4 linked regions of the Yarrowia lipolytica genome follow. The protein of the gene in region 1 binds, or shares a complex with, the protein of each later gene. Links are inferred from orthologs where the notes say so. Each region holds a gene or a part of one and is shown on either strand. Other genes may lie near its edges. The genes, in order: YALI1_D26730g, YALI1_C25758g, YALI1_B04470g and YALI1_F04259g.

The links.
Region 2: YALI1_D26730g (region 1) and YALI1_C25758g share a complex: the UniProt entries of both Saccharomyces cerevisiae proteins name them as parts of the PAM complex. The link is inferred for Yarrowia lipolytica from reciprocal best matches to the Saccharomyces cerevisiae genes TIM44 and MGE1.
Region 3: YALI1_D26730g (region 1) and YALI1_B04470g share a complex: the UniProt entries of both Saccharomyces cerevisiae proteins name them as parts of the PAM complex. The link is inferred for Yarrowia lipolytica from reciprocal best matches to the Saccharomyces cerevisiae genes TIM44 and PAM17.
Region 4: YALI1_D26730g (region 1) and YALI1_F04259g share a complex: the UniProt entries of both Saccharomyces cerevisiae proteins name them as parts of the PAM complex. The link is inferred for Yarrowia lipolytica from reciprocal best matches to the Saccharomyces cerevisiae genes TIM44 and PAM16.

Annotation. Positions count from the first base shown.
Region 1 is NC_090773.1:2,670,864-2,676,137, forward strand, and holds YALI1_D26730g (uncharacterized protein), read left to right. Parts: upstream 1-2,113; coding exon 2,114-3,532; downstream 3,533-5,274. Other genes in the region: YALI1_D26721g (uncharacterized protein), read right to left, coding at 1-1,232; YALI1_D26749g (uncharacterized protein), read left to right, coding at 4,031-4,185, 4,232-4,352; YALI1_D26759g (uncharacterized protein), read right to left, coding at 4,354-5,067. UniProt on the Saccharomyces cerevisiae protein: Essential component of the PAM complex, a complex required for the translocation of transit peptide-containing proteins from the inner membrane into the mitochondrial matrix in an ATP-dependent manner.
Region 2 is NC_090772.1:2,573,094-2,577,746, reverse strand, and holds YALI1_C25758g (uncharacterized protein), read right to left. Parts: upstream 1,865-4,653; coding exon 1,118-1,864; downstream 1-1,117. Other genes in the region: YALI1_C25782g (uncharacterized protein), read left to right, coding at 1-843; YALI1_C25747g (uncharacterized protein), read left to right, coding at 2,874-2,983, 3,030-3,294; YALI1_C25742g (uncharacterized protein), read left to right, coding at 3,383-3,482, 3,527-3,702; YALI1_C25703g (uncharacterized protein), read right to left, coding at 4,251-4,653. UniProt on the Saccharomyces cerevisiae protein: Essential component of the PAM complex, a complex required for the translocation of transit peptide-containing proteins from the inner membrane into the mitochondrial matrix in an ATP-dependent manner.
Region 3 is NC_090771.1:443,830-448,679, forward strand, and holds YALI1_B04470g (uncharacterized protein), read left to right. Parts: upstream 1-3,229; coding exon 3,230-3,832; downstream 3,833-4,850. Other genes in the region: YALI1_B04433g (uncharacterized protein), read left to right, coding at 305-1,340; YALI1_B04466g (uncharacterized protein), read right to left, coding at 2,419-2,841; YALI1_B04497g (uncharacterized protein), read right to left, coding at 4,215-4,850. UniProt on the Saccharomyces cerevisiae protein: Component of the PAM complex, a complex required for the translocation of transit peptide-containing proteins from the inner membrane into the mitochondrial matrix in an ATP-dependent manner.
Region 4 is NC_090775.1:423,905-428,313, reverse strand, and holds YALI1_F04259g (uncharacterized protein), read left to right. Parts: upstream 1-2,354; coding exon 2,355-2,798; downstream 2,799-4,409. Other genes in the region: YALI1_F04264g (uncharacterized protein), read right to left, coding at 1-1,891; YALI1_F04238g (uncharacterized protein), read right to left, coding at 3,710-4,409. UniProt on the Saccharomyces cerevisiae protein: Essential component of the PAM complex, a complex required for the translocation of transit peptide-containing proteins from the inner membrane into the mitochondrial matrix in an ATP-dependent manner.

The sequences.
Region 1 (5,274 bases):
GTCTCGAAAAACGAACCGTCACTGAGAATGTTTCCTGCCGAGAGACCCTCAAAAATCAACACCTGAAAAGACTCATTGTACTTGACGGGTTGAATGTCGTCGAGATGAATGGTGATAGCTTTGTCTGTCATAATAGGACACGGCCTGATGCTCACCTTCATAGCCTTTTTGAGGTAATAGGTGACATCCATAACTAGTCGATTCTCGTCCTCCCCACCAGTAGAGATCCCTTCTGCCTCCATCCTCAAATCCGTGTACTCCTGATTCCACGTATGTCCGTCCAAGTAGACTTCCAGCACCTGAAACGAGGCAGGTGGGGGTTTCGTCTCCTCCTTCGGTCTTTGAGCCAAGAAGTCTCCAAGAGGAGCAGGTTTAAGCAAGGTGTAGTCTCTTCTCTTACCCTTTTTCTTCTTTTCGCTCATATGCTTCCTGTCCTTCTCTAGAGCCTTTTCTTGTTTGGTCTTCATGGGCCGATCATCGTCATCTGAGGAAGATGATACAGAATGGGTGTCTAAGTTGGAAAGCGAGTGGTCATTGGGTTTGTGTTTCGATGCCGGTTGTGGCGATGGCGGAACATGTTCGCTAGTCTTCTTCTCGGGAACGTCGGGGTTGGTCTTATTATTCGGGAACAGATCCTCGTCGTCGGTGGTATCGTTCAATTCTTTGATGGTAGGCTTGGATACACTGCCTTTAACAAACTTCTTCAACAACGGATGCGAGAGACGAGAAGAGGTTAAATCTGAAGGGATTCCGATCGACGGAGTCTTCTTGAGAGTCGAATACGGCCGCGCCACGATACGCTTCGAGTCTCCTCCGATCTCCACCACTCCCGGCTGCTCGGGGTTGGTTTTGTGGCGCTTACTGACGGCCGAAAGATACTTGTTATTGCTCACGAACCCCTTGACCTTGGGGCGATTGCGAATATCGTTGTGAGGCGGTCGTTCGTTTTCTGGGGACGCTCTCTTGCGTTGGCCATAGGTGTGTTGGAGGCCTGACCTGGAGCTCCCGCTTTGAACCGGTCTCTGGGCGATGGAAAAGCGCTCGTGTAAAGACGCGAGCGACGACGGACGGGTGTTTGGCGCTCGGATTTGCACCGAAGCAGGCACCTGTTGTTGCTGGTGTAGTGATGGAGACGGGCTGTCTCTCCTGGCGTTTGCCGGAGTGCCTGTCAGAATGGCGTTGATTTGGTTGATATGACGATTAGCACCTTGGCGGCCACCGCTGGACTCCATTTGCAAAGCTGGATATCGGCCTAGAGCTCCTGACTATGCCGTTGTTTGGGTCTATGGTGGTCCGCTTAAAAAAAATATGCATGCACATGTCGCGATGGGTCGGGGATTATGTAAGCGCAGGGAAATGAAGGGCACCAGTGAGGTGTGGCAGAGGGGGAAACAGGCAGGTGGGCGATGAGAGGAATGCGATAGAGAGAACAGATGGTTGGAATCCGAGTCTTGTGATTCCAGTGGCAAAAAAACGCATCTCTCCATAGCTCAGTGTGATTACTTGGGCCTTTCAAGTAAAGTTGTGTTTTTTCCAAGTAAATACTCTTTCTTTCAAGTAAACCGTCACAACCTTACGATGCAGTGTATGATGCCGCCGGCAAAGTGGTTACAATCCAATCGACGCAAGAACGGACCAATTTTTTGTTGTAATGGACAGAAAACGTGACACAACCGGTTCTTTTTTATTATATTTTTTATTCTATTTATTCTAGAGAAAAAAAACCACCCAGGAAAAAACTTGTCTGTTCTCCGCTGAGATTGACGTGCGGCTCATCAATTATAAGGATGTTGGTTCGATTTGCGAGAAGCTCACTTTTATGCACATACTCAGATTTACTCATGTGTATTTTTGGGTCTGAAAGTGTCGGAAATGCCCCCCAGAGCAACACAGACTCTCATACTTGTGTCCACTGTCCGGGATCTGGCCCCAAAACACACCCATTCGCTTGCCCTCACCCCTCTCAACGTCGGTTGCTTAACCCCAGACAAACCTTGGTTGAGCGTCGGTGAGTCAGCGGAGGTTTGGGAGGGTGGCTCTGGACGACGAGTTGGGGTCCGAAACGGATTTTCGGACATGTAGAGATGTAGAGAAAGATGCAGCGAGTCGAACTATGTTTTCAGATCCGCTCCATCTCCACTCCATCGGCCGCTGCAAGACCCTTTTGGCCCGTGGGTATAAACTTCTGGAAGGTCCCAAACACCCATTCTTGCAAAGTGAAATTTCGGTGCATTTTTTTACCTCTACAACTACAACTATCTACCACCACTCCACCATGCTACGAGCTCGACAGTGTCTTCAGGTGGCCAAGCCGGCTTCCACTCGATGGTTTTCGGCGTCCAGTGCGCTGGGCAAAAAAGACCAGACCCCCATGCAGGTCTTCATGGACACGTTCAAGAAGGAGTGGGGCAAGTCCAAGGAGCTCCAGGACAACATCAAGGCGCTGAACGACGAGACTGGCCGAATGGCCGAGAGTGAGACCTTCAAGCGGGCCAAGGCCGCGTATGCCAATGCGCAGAAGGGTTCATCTGCCACGTCCAAGCAGCTCAAGAAGGCCGCCGGAGCGGTTGGATCTGCTGCTGGAGCGGCGTGGAACTCGCCCGTTGGCCAGGCCACCCGAAAGGGAATCAACGTCACCGCCGACACGCTGGACAAGGCTGCCGAGCCCATTCGAAAGACTAAGGCGTACAAGGACATCAAGGACGTGATTGACGACGGATCGTCGATCCGATATGGAGGTTTCGAGGACAAGGGCAGCCGACGATCTCGACGTATGGCCGAGCAGCAGGCCCGAATCGAGGAGGAGCTGCGAACCGGCGTCAAGACCGGCCCCGTCATGCCCAACGAGGAGGCTGGCAGTGATCTGGTGGTCCATGCCACCGCCCGGGCCTCCAACCGGCGAATGCCCAAGTTTGACGAAAACTCCGTCATTGGCAAGACCGGAAAGGGCGTGGCCTCGTGGTGGGAGGAGTCCGACAACGGATTCATCGCCACCCTGCGAGCCGTGACTTCCAAGGTGGGCCGACTGTTTGACGAGACCGAGGCTGGCAAGGTGATCCGAATGTTCAAGCTCATGGACCCGTCGTTTAACCAGGACCAGTTCATGAAGACTACCCGAGAGTACATCATTCCCGAAGTGCTGGAGGCGTGGGTTACCGGCGACGGCGAGACCCTCAAAATGTGGCTCAGTGAGGCCCCCTACAACATTTGGGCCACCCAGACCAAGCAGTACACCGAGCAGGGTCTTTTCGCTGACGGCAAGATTCTTGACATTCGAGGAGTCGATATCATGTCCGCCAAGGTGCTGCCACCGTCCGACGTGCCTGTCTACGTCATCTCCTGCCGAGCTCAGGAGGTGCATCTGTACCGAAAGGCCAAGACCGGCGAGCTGGCTGCTGGAACCGAAGACAACATCCAGCAGTCCACCTACGTCATGGTGCTGACCCGAGTGCCTGAGGACATGGGCAATCCCGAGACGGGCGGATGGAAGATTTTGGAAATGGTCCGGGGAGCCTCTCGATCGTGGACTTAGAGTGTATATATGTAAATAGCGCGAGGAGGTGGCCGAGGCCCCTCATGAATGTATGTTATGATTTGAGTGTCCCCAGAGCTGGCGATGAAGTAATACATGATGCAAGGGAGCCAGTCAGCCGGAGAAGTGTTAACCTGAAGACATGTGCTACTTACACTACTCACTCAACCATGAACCAAGATAATGACAAGTGCTAGCGAGTGATAATGGCAAGTGCAATCGTAGGCTTCAGAACATCCAGTAACTGGGTTTATAGATACAAAAGAGAAACTGGTCAATACATAGACGGTTAGGACTTGTAGGTCAGTCATGGACATGTATGATGATAGTTATGGGCGTAGAGCAGTTGCCTGTAGGCAGACTGGCTTGTCCAATCGTTTAAGGGCTTTTTACTATATCTGTTACTTGAGACTGTGGAATGTGATATGTTGTTGTTGTTGTTTTGTTGTTGTTGTTGTTTGTTGTTTGTTGTTGTTGTTTTTTTGTTGTTGTTGTTAGATGTGGTATGATACTAATGTCCACACTGGTAGACAGGAGAATCAGCTCGTCGGGGACTATCCAACGGTGTTACAATCGAGACTCTCGATTCTTTCCGTAAGAACCAATTGCAGACGTCCGTCAAGTGACATTGAATTCTCGGTCCACATGCTTTCGTGAAGAGCGACAACCGAAAGTGAATCTCAGCAAAACTATCTTAAGAGGACAACCTCTCGATCTGTTCGTGACGTTGCTTTTGGATCCTGATGTCGTCATCGAGGGAGGAGTACTCAGACCGCCGTATTGCTCAGTAGTAGTCACTAGCTTTGTCAACACTCGCTAAATCAACTTTTGATCTTCTTCTTCTTCCGCTTGAACATGCTTCCTTTGCTCTCTCCTTCCTCCTTTTTAACGTCAGTGTCCTCCGTCTTCATTTCAACCTCCTCCTTTTTAACGCCATCTTCCTGCTTCAAGTCCACCTTGATACCTTTCCTATCGCTATCGCTACCCAGCTTGCGTTTTCTGTTGAGCACAAGATCATCGTCCTCCAACTGCTTCTCCTGGATCTTCCATCTTGTTGACTCCTCATCGTTCACCTTCTGAGCTCGCTTAGAAGCACTCAAAACGTACTCTGAAACCCCCTCGGAACCATCAACAACAGGCGGAGCAGCAGGAGGTATCACCTGAACACTTTCCCACACACCGGTTCCTGTGTTTGTGTCGATAACAGGCTTCTTTTCGTCCTGTTTACTCTTCTCCTCCATCTTGTCGTAGAATGTCTTTTTTGGCGCTACCGCGGGATCTTGAGACCCAGATTTCGCTTCTAGGGGTTTATCCATCCCCTCATAGCCATCCTGGGCCACCTTCTTCCTAATCTCGGCCATTTCGCGCTCAAGATCATCTTTTTTCGCGCCTTCCTCCTTGCTGGATTCATACAACCCGCGCAAATGTTGCTTCCACGCCGATTTGTGCTTGGCCGTCTCTTCGTGCACCTTGCGCTCAAACGTCGTGTCGGTCACAAATACAGCGCACACCTTGCACCAGTATCGAGGGGCCATTTGAAAGTGAAACGAGTCTTGTGGAAGTGGTGTTGTGAAGTTCCTGCCTGCAGAAAAGCTAGTAGAGTTAGTGAGAGGCCAACTGAGAGAGAGGTGGAGATATGGAACTATAATGGGTATAGATGTGGAGTACAGAGGGACAAAAACCAATTTTTCCAACATATTTCAAGACTACGAATGTACAGATGAAAAAAAATGAGCCCAACT
Region 2 (4,653 bases), on another chromosome or scaffold:
CCCTCCGAGGAGGCTCTGATTGAGAAGCTCCGAGCTGACGTGGCCGCAATCCCCGCTACCAACCTCATTGTCGAGGACGTCGACCAGGTTTCGCACCCCGAGAACCCCAAGTCCCCCTACATGTCTGATACCGAAACCGAGCTTGTCGCTGCCCATCTCAAGAAGTCCATTGAGCTGCTTGTTGGAGATATTTTCGAGCGTGCCAAGGTAGCTGCTAAGGTTGCTGGGTCTACTGATCCCGATCTCGAGAAGCCCCTCAAGGTTCGATGGGTCGAGACTACTTTCCCCTGGACCACTCCTTCATGGGAGATTGAGGTGTGGTGGAAGGGTGACTGGCTCGAGTGCTGCGGATGTGGTCTTGTTCGTGATCACGTGTACTCGGCCTCAGGTCTTGACAAGCACACCCATTTCGGCTGGGCCTTTGGTCTTGGTCTGGAGCGCCTGGCCATGATTCTGTTCGGTATCCCCGATATTCGACTCTTCTGGTCTCTTGACCAGCGATTCCTGTCGCAGTTCAAGCCTAACGAGATCACCGCTTTCAAATCCTGGTCCAAGTACCCCGGCACCGACCGAGATGTGGCCTTCTGGCTGCCCGAGGGCGCTGCTCTGGACTCCATCCACGAGAACGACATCATGGAGCTAATCCGAGCCACCGCCGGCGATCTGGTCGAGAACGTGGCTCTCACCGATACCTTCACCAACCCCAAGACCGGTCTGACCTCGCAGTGCTACCGAATCAATTTCCAGTCCATGGAGCGAAATCTCGAGAACCAGGAAATCAACCAGATGCTCGACGCTTTCAAGGAGATGCTTGTTGACCGATACGGCGTTAAGCTGAGATAGTACGATAGTGTGCCGAACAGTGTCACGCACAAGTACAAGTACAAGTACAAGTGCTTGTAAATGTATATGTAAATAGTAAACGATCCATGTTTTATCACGTTTTGCGAGCATGTATGAACAATTGATGTTGAATAAGGCCATTGAGTCCTTAGAATCTGAATCTTTAGTACAACTCATCATCCGATCACCTTTTTGGGTATTGATTTTATCTACAGGTGACATTTTCTGAAACATTACTCATTACTATATACATATTGGATAATTTGTGGTGGAATTACTCGCCCTTAACAACTCCGACCTTGGCGGCTCGCAGAATTCGGTCGTTAAGAGTGAAGCCGGTCTGCTGGACAAAGAAGACGGTGCCGGCCTCCTTGTCGGGCTGGGGGGCCTCGAAGACGGCCTCATGCATGTTGGGGTCGAAGACCTCGCCGACGGGCTCGAGCTTCTTCATGCCGTGCTTACCCAGAGTCTTCTCGAAGATATCCTGGGTCATCTTGATGCCGTCGTAGAAGTTCATGATCTCCTTGTTGTTCTCTCGGTCGTTCTTGATCTCGTCGGGGACAACGCCCAGGGCTCGATCAAAGTTGTCGACCGAGTCCAGCAGGTCTTTGGCGAACTTGGCCAGGGCAAAGTCGTGTGCCTTCTTGATTTCTCGCTTGGTGGTCTCCTGCAGGTGTCGGAAGTCGGTGATGGCTCGCTGGTAGTGCTCCTTGAACTGGGCGCACTCCTTGTCCTTCTTCTCGAACTTGGCCAGCAGAGCCTCGTACTCCTCGGCGGTGGGGGCGGTCTTGGTCTCGGCAGCGGACGCACCAGAAGCGGAGGCGTCGGCGGCGTTGGCCGCGGGACCAGCAGCCTCAGCAGCGGCCTCAGGGTCCTCAGCCTTGGTTTCAGCCTTGTCGGAGTAAAATCGGGATCGGAGGTTGAAGGAGGCCATGGGGGCCACGGTGGCGGGTCGCATGGCGGATCGGACGGTGGATCGGACGGCGGCCGACCGCTGGACACGGGCAATTCGAGAGATCATTTTGTGTGTGTATTTCGGGCGGTGTTTGGGGGAGGATGAAGAGGTGTTGTTAGTCTCGAAGAATGGAAAATTCAATTCCCCAAAATTAACTTTGAACCCACAGTTGCCCTTGAAGTGGAAGCTTAGCGAAGGTTGGAGTAGGAGTTGGGAGAATCCATCTGACAGCGGTTGGCTCAAGGTCAGGCGTCATAAGTTAAGCAAGGCGTGCGAACCAGCAACAATGGGTTGCCCTGTCTCAGGCATATGTCTTAGGCCGCGAAAGCACGTGAATTGACTACTACCGAGACCCATGACCAATTTCTCCTTCATTTCCCCCCCCCCCTCACTTAGACTTGCACCGCAGACCACGTGACCAACCCGGAGAAAGGGGCGGAACAATTGCCACCGCTGGGGAAAGGCGTCACATTCGTGTGGCCTGAATCGATGGGTTAGTCAGCGTGCGAGTGACTAATGCCCGCAATTGTCTCTGTCTGGATCCAAAATATGCAAAATATGCGACTATATCGTCCATAGCCGCCCTCTACACCACATGCTCCAGATGAGATGGTGATGAGATCATGCATGGTCATGCCAAAAGCTGTAAAACAGAGTGCGGCTAGACACGCGAAATCTTCCGCGGGGGTGGTGGGAAAAAGTTGTGAAACCACGCTATGTTTGGCGTTGCAATCGGCGACTGTTTGATTGGTTGGATTTTTGAGCTTTGCGTATTTGTCGTTGGATGGCGATGTGTAGTCTAGTGGTGTTGATGATAAGTGTGTTAGTTGAGACTCACGTACCATCTCGCCAATTATGATTGTGAGGTTCATAGTTGCCGCCATTGCCGTAATTGAAGTGTACCGTCATAGCTCTGGTCAGTCCCTGAGATAGACAAGGACGGAACTTCAATTGCAACACTCGAAGCTATCTGAAAAAGAGTGTTATCATCGCATCATACTGATCAGTGAATAACCTGTTGTCTGGGTGAAAGAAGGATGTACCCACCCTGCTCCACAACCGCACAAGCGAAAACATGACAACGATGTGCATCGCGGGGACAGGATCAATGACAATCAACAGATCAGCATTGTGTCCGACCAAGACCCACTGTTTCAGAACAGTTGGTTCCAGAAATGGCCGAGAGTGTCATTTCGAATAGCAAATGTGGGCCATCCCGAAGCTGACGGAGCGGCAGAACGTCACATCAAGGCTGTGAAAGAACGACTCAAACCATTCTCTCAGGAAAGGTCTCTCACAGGGAAGACTATCTACTTCAAGGGGTTGTGGTAGCAAAGTCATGTCTCGCTAGTCTGCAACTGGTACATAGTCTTCCGGCACTGCATGGCTCTTCGCGGCCAATCCCGATCCTGGCCAGATATCGAATACAGGAAAAGGAATGCACGGAGATTTGGGGTAGCTATCTTCCCCGCAAAAATGGAGCGATCGGAAGATAGTACATACTTGTACTTATGATACAAGTGCGAGTACGGTACCCGTATTGACGAGAGCGAGTACTACGAGAGCGAGTACTGACGAGTACCGATGTTTCAGCACAGACTAATGTTTGCGGTGACACAAGCACTGATAAGACAGATGACATTTGCAGAGAGGGATTCACTGGTAGTTAACTCATCAGGGCACTGTTTCCCTCCACAGTGAACAGTCTCCTCAGATCAAGTTGAAAAGTGGACATGCCAATTGCCCTGTCCGAACGAGATAGAATAAAACACATGCATCTGGAGCGTCGAAAGGCATCTTCCGGATACACACGGATCTTTTGCACTGATATCAGACCCTGTTATCTGGCCCAAAACCGACAAACCCTTCTCCAGTATTCCTCATTGGATTTTCCAGCCGCATGAAAACATGATATTTTGTCCGACCCAAATGCGAGCCGCATCTCGGAGACGATGTATCCGGGAAAGGATAAAGAATTTCAGGGTGAATAATTGTTGGATTTGCATTGTTGATGGCTTATCTTGTTCTCTCGATCGTGGGGAGTGTAATGATATAATTTTTATGGAGATCGATCAACAGCATCCATCTCAAATACTGTCCGATGTTTGGAAAAAAATTCACCGCCCACTTCAGTGCACTGCAACCCCTCCACCTAAGAGCTAGACGTCTACGGTTACATATCGCCCCAGTATGGCACAAGAGATATCGAATTGAATCGAATAGCTTGGAGTGTGTGTGATTAGAGGATTTGTATCTGACCACAAAAACATACAACTACAACAGATAGTCGTTCTGGTTGTCTGTAGTTGCACGTTCTTCAGCTCGAGATCCAGCTCCAATGAAATGTCACTGCTCCAGGTGTCATTTACAGTATGCTGATCATCTGTCAGCCCTATGCACTCATACAACTACTAACAGTCATGTTCAGGTCATATCAATTAAATAAAATAAACTAAGGGAAGTTCTCAGGCGAAGGACCAAAGGTCTCTCCAGCGGCCAGGGGTTTCAGAATGGCACCCTTAAAGTCCAGGTTGTCGTAAGACACAGTGTTTCCCCACCACTCGAGCTCCACTCCCTTGTATTGGACTGCAAAGAAGATGATGATGGCCGAGAATGCAATTCCGGTGATGAGACCAGCATCAAGAACGTAGGTGTACTTACGCCACCAGGCAGAATATCGTCGCTTGATCCAGGAAAAGAGCAAGGAGACGTACAGACCGCCAGTAGCATAGGACAGGTTGTAAGGAGCAAAGTTGAGAACACCGCCAACAAAGATGACGGGGTTGAACAATTTCAGGGTAGACTGCAAAGACAGAATTCGCTCTCGGTGCTGGGGGAACTTCTTGGCCAGAAAA
Region 3 (4,850 bases), on another chromosome or scaffold:
CTGACACGACACGCACCTCCTCTGCACTGCTTAACTCTACGAGTTTAATGAAGTGTTCGATGGGGAGTTTAGTGGAGTGGCGACAGTGGCAATGCGAGGTCTTCTGGAAGCATTTAAAAGTGTGAGAGCAATTCTAAGAGTCTCAAGAAGTACTCTATTTGCCTTCTCTTCAAGCCCCTCCTCCACCTTGAGCCCAGTCTGCTGTGAATGCCGTTATATGTCATCTGTCAGTCATTCAGCGCATTCGGCGTTGCCCCGTTTGTGACCTTTGGCCACTCACCTCCGCTTACCATACTAACATCAGGGGAACCACCGTCGCCAAGATTGTCGCCGAGAACTGCACTGCTCACCCCGAGCTCTTTGAGCCCGAGGTTCGAGTCTGGGTTCGAGAAGAGAAGGTCAACGGCAAGAACCTGACCGACATTTTCAACGCTGAGCACGAGAACGTGCGATACCTCCCTAAAATCAAACTTCCTCACAACCTGATCGCCGAGCCGGATCTGCTCAAGGCCGTCGAGGGTGCCAACATCATCGTCTTCAACCTGCCCCATCAGTTCCTGGCTGGTGTCTGCAAGCAGCTCAAGGGCCACGTCAACCCCAAGGCTAGAGCCATCTCCTGCCTCAAGGGTCTAGATGTCACCCCCCAGGGTGTTTACCTGCTCTCCGACGTTATCGAGAACGAGACCGGTCTCCACTGCGGTGTTCTGTCCGGGGCTAACCTCGCCACCGAGATCGCTCTGGAGAAGTACTCCGAGACTACCGTTGCTTACAACCGACCCAAGGACTTCTTTGGCGAGGGTGATGTGACCAACGATGTGCTCAAGGCTCTGTTCCACCGACCCTACTTCCATGTGCGATGCGTTCAGGACGTCGCCGGTGTCTCCATCGGAGGTGCCCTTAAGAACGTTGTTGCCCTTTGCGCCGGTTTCGTCGAGGGCAAGAACTGGGGAGACAACGCCAAGGCCGCAATTATGCGACGAGGCATGCTTGAGATGATCAACTTCTCCAAGCGATTCTTCCCCGAAACTGATATTAACACTCTTACAGTCGAGTCTGCCGGTGTGGCCGATCTCATCACCTCGTGCGCTGGAGGCCGAAACTTCAAGGTCGGCCGAGCATTCGGAAAGGAGAGCGGCTCCGGCAAGACCATCCAGGACGTGGAGAAGGAGCTTCTCAACGGCCAGTCCGCCCAGGGCGTCATCACATGCAACGAGGTCCACGAGCTGCTCAAGAACAAGAACATGCAGAAGGACTTCCCTCTGTTCGAGTCCACCTGGGGCATTATCCACGGTGAGCTCAAGATTGATGATCTCCCCGAGATTCTTTACCACGCCAACTAGATAGATAGACTGTATTTTATTGCATATGAAAAAGAAGGAAAAGTCTGCGAGCGTAGCGGATGTAGATGTATCGTGATATCACGAAATTTCAGGTTATGTTCTTCTTGTTATGTGATGCTGTACACCTTATTTCATTTTACTTAGGAATGATAACTAACATGGCTGTTTCTTAGACATGTCAACTACTCAGCCCAGCAAGCCCACCATTCAGACATACCACACACATCCACAGAAGCAATTGCATGCCCCATCCACATGAAACATTGCTATCCCCAATATCCCCTCATATCTGTTGAGTCCCAAATACTCAATGCTCCCTTAGGCCGGTTGAGTGGGGCATCAACAGCCGCTCGCCCCGCACTCATACTATATGTACGGTAAAGGAGCACATGGCCCCACAATACGGGTATGTTTAGGAGGGAAATGGCATATTGGGGAGGATTATTATATTACTTGATATGAAAACCAACGGTGACTGCGATCACACGGCTGGAAAGAACTGCAATATGGCTCGATAAGATAGCAATCTATCTTTTTGAAGAGTCGTTCGCCTTACTGTAGTGGCGATTTAGGGTGGTCCTTGTTTGAAAGACTTGTGTCTCTGCTGTACAAGTAAAAGTACAGTATCTGTACTGCAGCTACAGTAGCTGTCTAGAGCCCACACCGAATGGATTTCAGTGTCAGTGACAAGTATACAGTATGCACACAACTCCATAGTGCGACAGTTGAGCGTTTAATTGAAAGCAAATTGGGAATATTGAACAACAAATACCCCCACTGTATGTACACTCCCCCACTGTATGCAAGATTGCACACATTGCCTCGTATCTTAACTCGTATTGGTGCATCTGACCTTATAGTCATACCCATCAGACTACAGGATAGCCTTCGTACGAGGCATCAACTTGGCCTCCTATCCATGAACTATAGAAAAAACATCACGCCTCCGTCTTGTCCACTTGTCCACTTGTCCACTTGTCCACACGGTCCATAAAGATTATAATGCAATAACTATACTTGTACCTCCTTTTATGTTCACATCCCTTCCATTGTCTTTTCAACATACCGCACTGGTCTGTTACATGTGCATCTTCTTGTCCTTGGGCTGAGCAGGCTCGTTCTGGGGAATCTGGGTCTTCAGGAACGCCTGAAGCGACGCAAACGGACTGGCCTGATACTCCTTGGAGTTGAGGATCTTGTTGAACCGCTTGGTCTCGGCCTTGATGATGGCCTCGTTACCTCGAGCATTCCGGGGATTAGGGGTATGATCCAGCTTTTCTCGTGTTCGGCCTCCGTTCTCGGCCTTGAGAGGGTCCAGAAGATCGTCGAGGTTGGCTGCAAGCGTCTCGGTCTCTCGAATTCGCTGACGTCGAGCTTCCTGTCTCTGTTGTCGCTTGATTTCCTTAGCCGTGGCACCATCAGCCATGATGGCATCAATGTCAGCAGGTGGCAAAGGAGTGCCCTTGTTCACCGAAGTCACCCCCTGGGAAACAGGTCGCATGGCAGCCTCGTTTTTCAGAGGGTTTCCGTAGTCGAACGGTCGATCATGAATGGGCTTCTTTCGTTTCAAATCAGCCTTGCTGATGCCTCCTCGCTTGGACAGCTTTGTGTGGTGTCGTTCTCGCTTGGCAGCAGCCTTGTCCTTCTTGGTGGCCTTGGCCTTGTATAGGAACTGTGTGTTTCCCTCGTTCTGTGTTAGATGGAGCTGTACAGCGTCTGGATGTCGTCTCTACTCACCATTCCGTTAGTTGTGTGCTTTGATTTTACCCAGTATCAATTTCGCCCCATGCAAATATCGAATCTTTTCAAATAAGATTTACCAGTACCTCCCACCTGCACTGGGTTACCCGGAGTACATGTACAGCAAATGACCCAATGTTAGTGGAACCATGGTATTAAAAGAACTCCACTCTACTACACAACACATACACACAATGTCCCTTCAGATGCTGAGAAGCCGGGTTGCACTTGCCCGACCTACCCTCGTGCGACCCTCAGTTGGTCAGATGACCAAGCGATTCGCCGGAACCGCCCCCGTTCCCCTCACTTGGGAGCGATTCCTGCTTCTGCGAACCCGAAGACGACAGATCAACTTTGTGGCCTCCATTTTCACCGGTGTGGCCACCTCTGTTCTTGCATGGGGTTTCATTTCCGAGGCCGAGCTGGATCTCGAGCAGCAGGACGTCTTCTTCGGTCTGGATGCCTTCACCGCGGCTGGATTGGGTGTGGTGGCAGCTGGATTTATGGGCTCTCTCCTGGGCCCCACCATCGGCCAGCTCATCTTCAAGGCCACCAACTCCAAGCAGTGGCCCGCCTTCCTCATGAAGGAGACCGACTTCCTGTCGCACATCCAGAAAAACCGAGTGAACCCTCGATACCAGTCCGTCTCCAACCCCGTGCCCGACTACTACGGCGAGAAGATCGGCTCTCTCAAGGACTACCGACGATGGCTGCGTGACTGCGCCAAGTACAACCGTGCCCGAGAGGTCTAAATGTATATAGTAAACAATGATCTGAAATGGAGTGTAGTATGTACACATGGAGCGTGCATGGAGGGCAATATGAGAGCAATTGCTGGACTATGCCATTATAGTGGCAATTGAGTATGAAACGAAGAGATAGGTGCAATAGAACAAATGTGTTGTAATGGCCATGTACTGAAAGCACCCAAGTTCCTCAAATCACCCAAGTTCCTCCACATGTCTCGAATCAGAAGTCAATCTAACATCGGAAGTCAATCTAAGAAGTCAATCTATGACCACAAATAGATAACAAGTACAGCCCCAATGGCAAGACTACTGTACATACTTGTAGTATACGCGTGTTAATCTATATTTCCAAGTTGTACATGCTATGACTGTGTGTTAAACTCACTCACTTGCTCTCAAGCAAATAATCCAACATGCCAACTATATCCTTGTTGTTCTTCATCATCTCCTGATACTCATTGCTATCATCATCCCAGCCAAGGTACCGAGCCTTGTTATCTCTCTCCTGCTTGAGCACCTCTTTGTCCACCTCAATATCCTGACCCTCTACTTTCATCCATGCAAATATCGTGTCCAGAACCACCACCAGCCTGCTTCCTAGCATCTCCATGTCAGTCACGATCTCCTCAGTGTCCTCCTCATTGGCCAATGCACTCTCCAGTGCGGGAATCATGGTATCTACAGCCTGTTGTGTGTCATCTCTGAGCTCCTTAAGCTCATCCAACTTAGCCTTGTCCATCTTGGCTATCACTCTGACTCGTTCAGGCGAATCCGAAGGCAAAAGACGCAGCAGAGAAGCATATATGGCCCACAGAAACTCCCCATATTCACTATAGGTCTTGTAATGCTTGTTCTTGCCTGCCTTGAGAGCCTTGAACAAAACACCCAAACCCTTGGCTTGCACAAACACTGTAGCCAACTCCGTGGAATCATAAGAGTTCAGAGCAGCCTTGATAATACGAGCAGCATGCTTCTTGATCCACTTGCCCTCTCCTCCCATGAGCCTCACCATGGCATCCAC
Region 4 (4,409 bases), on another chromosome or scaffold:
TGTAGTCAGCAAAGGAAAGCTTGCCCTTCTTGGCTCCACTGTTTCGACGATCGTCGACAGGCGATTCAGAGCCCTTCTCTTCCACCTTTGGCTTGATTTCTTTTGAGGGAGTGCCTGTAGGATGATCAAAGTATTCCTTCATAGTGAGACGTTTGAAAGACGTTGTAACGACCGGCGAGGGCGGAGCAGGCTCTGGGCAAGCAGATCGAACTTGATACATTCGGTAAAGGTTGGTTTTAAACGGGATGGTTCTTGGCTGGATGGGATCCTCTTCTGAAGTAGCGGCGCTTCGTTCATCTTGAAACTCGAGTTTGATGGATGATGACTCTCCAGATCGTAGTCGTTTGTCAATGGGTACGGTCTGGGTCTCTTTAGAGATCTGATCATCTCGCTCAGGAGCTTCTTTTCGTTTCAGTGATGGCGAAAGGAACGGTGACTTGGGAGTTCTGGGCACAGACACCGGCTCCTGTACTCTTTCGTAGTAAGGCGGGTCCACGTATGCAAACGCCTCAATGTAATCCAGAGCAATGGTGCGATGCTCGTCGTCCAACTTATCGAGATAGTCCATGCAAGTGGGAGGCACAGGAGACGGGAACTGAATGCCTCCGTAACCTCCATAACCTTTGTACGACGAGCCAATTCCAAAACCCACACTGAGCTCCTGAGAGCCAGGAAGGAGCTCCGGGTTGGGTGATGCTGATGACGACTTGCCCGAATCTTCGTACGAAGAGCCTCCCTCGCCATTCGTCTCTTTAAGAAGGTTAAGAGCTCTTGTTTTCGAGCCTCGCACAGATCGGGGGTTTGCAGACACGCATTTCTTCATTTTCTGCAAAATGCACTGAGAATTTGTGGGGTCGGAGCACTCTGTTCGTTGCAGAATTGTCTCTACCATGTTGCCCAGGCACAGTTTCTCTTGGGGGGTGAGCTGGTCGATTTCAGTGCCATGAAGCATCTTTTGCACGGGGTGATGAGTGTCCCATTCCCATGCGAGTGTCAACTCCGTACCTGGCTTGATTGGTTCAGTTGCAAACACGACAAAAATGATATCGGTGTTGTTAACCACGACAGTCGCCACTCTGCAGTTTGGATTGCACGAACGGCGCATGAACCGCGCATCATTGCCTACAAGACGACCATCTATCACTAGAGGAAGCGTTGGATGGAACAAGACTGACGATTTGGGCACTGGATGGATGCGATACTGGTTGATTGGGTCTGCCTTGTACTGGTCCTTATGTGAAACATGACCCACGTACTCGATGATGAAGCGGTCTTTCTGAATAGGCTGATTGGCCACAAGTCCATGCTTAGAAAAGCCACAGAACTTGGACTTTGGATTGTCTTGGAACAGCTTTAAGGTCATCTTAGGCTTGACAATCTTTGAATACTCCGATAGAGACATGTAACTGATGTCCTTGTCAATAATTTCCTCATTGGCCAACTTGGCAAGATAATCCTTGACTTCCGGGTCCACGGTATTTCTGGGGATCACAGTGTAATCGAAATGGTAGTCGTTTTCCTCATTGTTGGGCTGTTCCGTTGATTCTCTAGAGGGGGCCACTGGAGGAGTCTGCGTGGCCTGGGTAGTTGCAGACGCGTCACCATTTGACTGGCCCTCCTTCTCTTCCGATTCTTTCCTTCGTTTCTTTTCCTGCATCTGTTTGATAGTCTCCAGGCGAGTCTTTTGTTTCTCATGGGCAGCTTTGACATCCAGTTCTCGAGGTCCACACTGGTCACAGAGATACACGTCTGGAACCTCCGCCTCGGAGCCGATTCCCACACACACGGCGTGTTGCCACACGTTACAGGATTCGCACTGGATGGTGAAACCGTCGTCCTCGTCAAACCCGCATATGCATTTGATGATACCCGCGTCCACAGCGTATTTCATAGTGGAGGGGAGTGATTAGTCAGCGACAAACGGATGGGTATTGTTGTAGATTCGAACTGTGTCGTTTAATATCGTATATGTGTTGTACTGTTTGCGGGATGCTCGTTGTTTGTTCACCTTGGATGAGTGTGTGTCTGGTGGTGATGAAGTTTGGAGGTTTAGGCTGAGTGCATGTGCAGCAGAGTGTATGACAAGCTAAGACAAGGGGTAGGATTAAAAGACCGATTGGGGTGGTAAAGTAAAGTCGTAAAGTGGAAAAAATAAGAGTGTAAAGAGTTGATTAACGCGAAAAATCCCATCACATTTTCATACCGAAACTCCTTCATCTAGTCCATCCGCACGACTACAAGTCTTGCGACTTACTTTTAGAGTTCCCAACCTCGAACCTCCCAAAACAATAAACTCTGGCAAAAACCTGAAATCTTTTCTCCACACCGCTAAGAACCACCACACACATTTCACCATGGCCCACAGACTCATCTATCAAGTTGTCGTGACCGGCACCCAGGTTTTCGCCAAGGCTTTCACCCAGGCCTACAAGCAGGCTGCTACCGCCCAGGCCGCCTCCAAGACCTCCAAGTCGGCAGCATCCAAGTTTGGAGGACTCCAGCTGGACGAGGCCTGTAAGATTCTCGACGTGGACGAGACCGCCCTCGACAAGGTGGTTGCCGAGCTCAACAAGAAACACAAGCTGGAGGACATTGCAGAGTCCGAGTCAGTGCTGGCTCAAATCGACAAGAAGTTCACTCATCTGTACACTGTCAACTCGGAGCACAAGTCGGGCTCCTTCTACCTGCAATCCAAGGTGTACCGAGCCATGGAGCGAATCCGGGGCGAGCTGGAGCTGGACCCGCTGCCCAAGCCCGAGATCGAGGAACCCAAGAAGAAGGAAGAGGAGAAAAAATAATGAGAGAGATAGGGACAGATCGGCACAAACTCGGTGTGAGTAAAAGTGTTTTGTAAATAGCATAACGAGATGATGATACGGAACCGTAACCGGATAGAATGAAAGTAAATCAGGAGCGGACTCTTTGGTGAACTACGCAGTGGTGACATAGGAAGAAACCGAGCAGTAATGGGGAACCAAGCAGTCTATGCAGTTCAGCACATACCATAGCTATACATTTGAAAGGGCCGATCGAAGGAGAGTACAAAAACAAGTAGACTATACTCGTATATAGGCCCCTGGTGTGCTCATTATTCTGTGGCACGTTGCTGCTTATTTTCTCTCGATAGTTCTGTCCTATCAGGTGCTACATACTGTACTGTAAGGAAGCTACTGTACGCCAGAAGAGACGAAACAGTACGATACTTGCAGCAGGTTAAGATACGGATGATCCCGTCCTTTCAATTTCAACACTTTATGGAGGCTGCTTCTACTTAGAAACAGATACTACTGTGTGCTTTCCTTGTTAGGGGGTAACAGATCTCCTACCATGTACGAGTGGTCAGAGCTCTTATACTGATGTTTCGCGGAGAGTATCCAAGTTCGAAGAGCTCCTTTAAGATCCCAGTATCTGACTACTTGTAGCTTCCTAGCTTTTATAAGGGGGCCACTATGAGTGTACTTGAACTGTAGTTGCATATGGCACTGTACGAGAAATATACATAACCTGGTTATCATTATGATAGATGTGTATGACTAAAGACCAATAGGTTTTCTTGATATTATTGATTGAAATATGCACGGTAGTCATTAGTTACCAGTCTTTCATAGTCAGCTCTCTAAAAACGGCTGTAGCGTTGGTGTTTTCTCGTGTTATCTTTTCTTCTTTCTTTCAGACGCTCTTCAGCAATCACATCCTGGAGAAACCGTCTTTAGACCAACCGTCTCACGGTCAAATCATAGATAATCTCCTCCACCTTCTTCACATCATATTTGATAGAATCATAACTTCTTCGCAGTTTATCATTCTTCAGATTCAGCACCATGAGGCCAGCATGAGTGTTCTTAATGAATGCAAGAAGGTACTGAGGGAACACAAATGGCAACTTGGTGTCGTGGCTCTCGTTATACGAGGCAATGGCCGTAACGGAGTTGAATGCAAGTCGAGAAAGCTCGTTGATCATGGTCACGATACCCAGCAGGTAGTCGTAGTCGGTCAGATGGCACGTGTTTTCATTTCCAGCCTCCAGCTCGGTCAAAAACGGCACTCCAAGCTGCTTGGACACTAGATCAGGTCCTAGGGGGGTGGCGGCCACCAGTGACTGCCAATTGGAGGGGTTGGAGACCACAATAGCCATGTCAGTGTCCACCCAGTTGGCCAGAAAGTGTCGTAGCAGAGTCACAAACACAGCCCGCTGGAAACAGCCGCCGTACATGTTGTTGTATCTGTAAAACTGCCATTGAGACGCGGTAGTCGCCAGCTCCTGACACTTTTCTGCAATCTCTGCGTAGATGGGGTCTTCAAGCAGAGGCTGGAGATAAAACTTGGTGGGGGCCACAGTGTGAGCTCGTCCTACTACAATCTGAGCCTTCTTGAGCGTCAGATCTAGCTTGTCGATCTCTTCGTTCAGC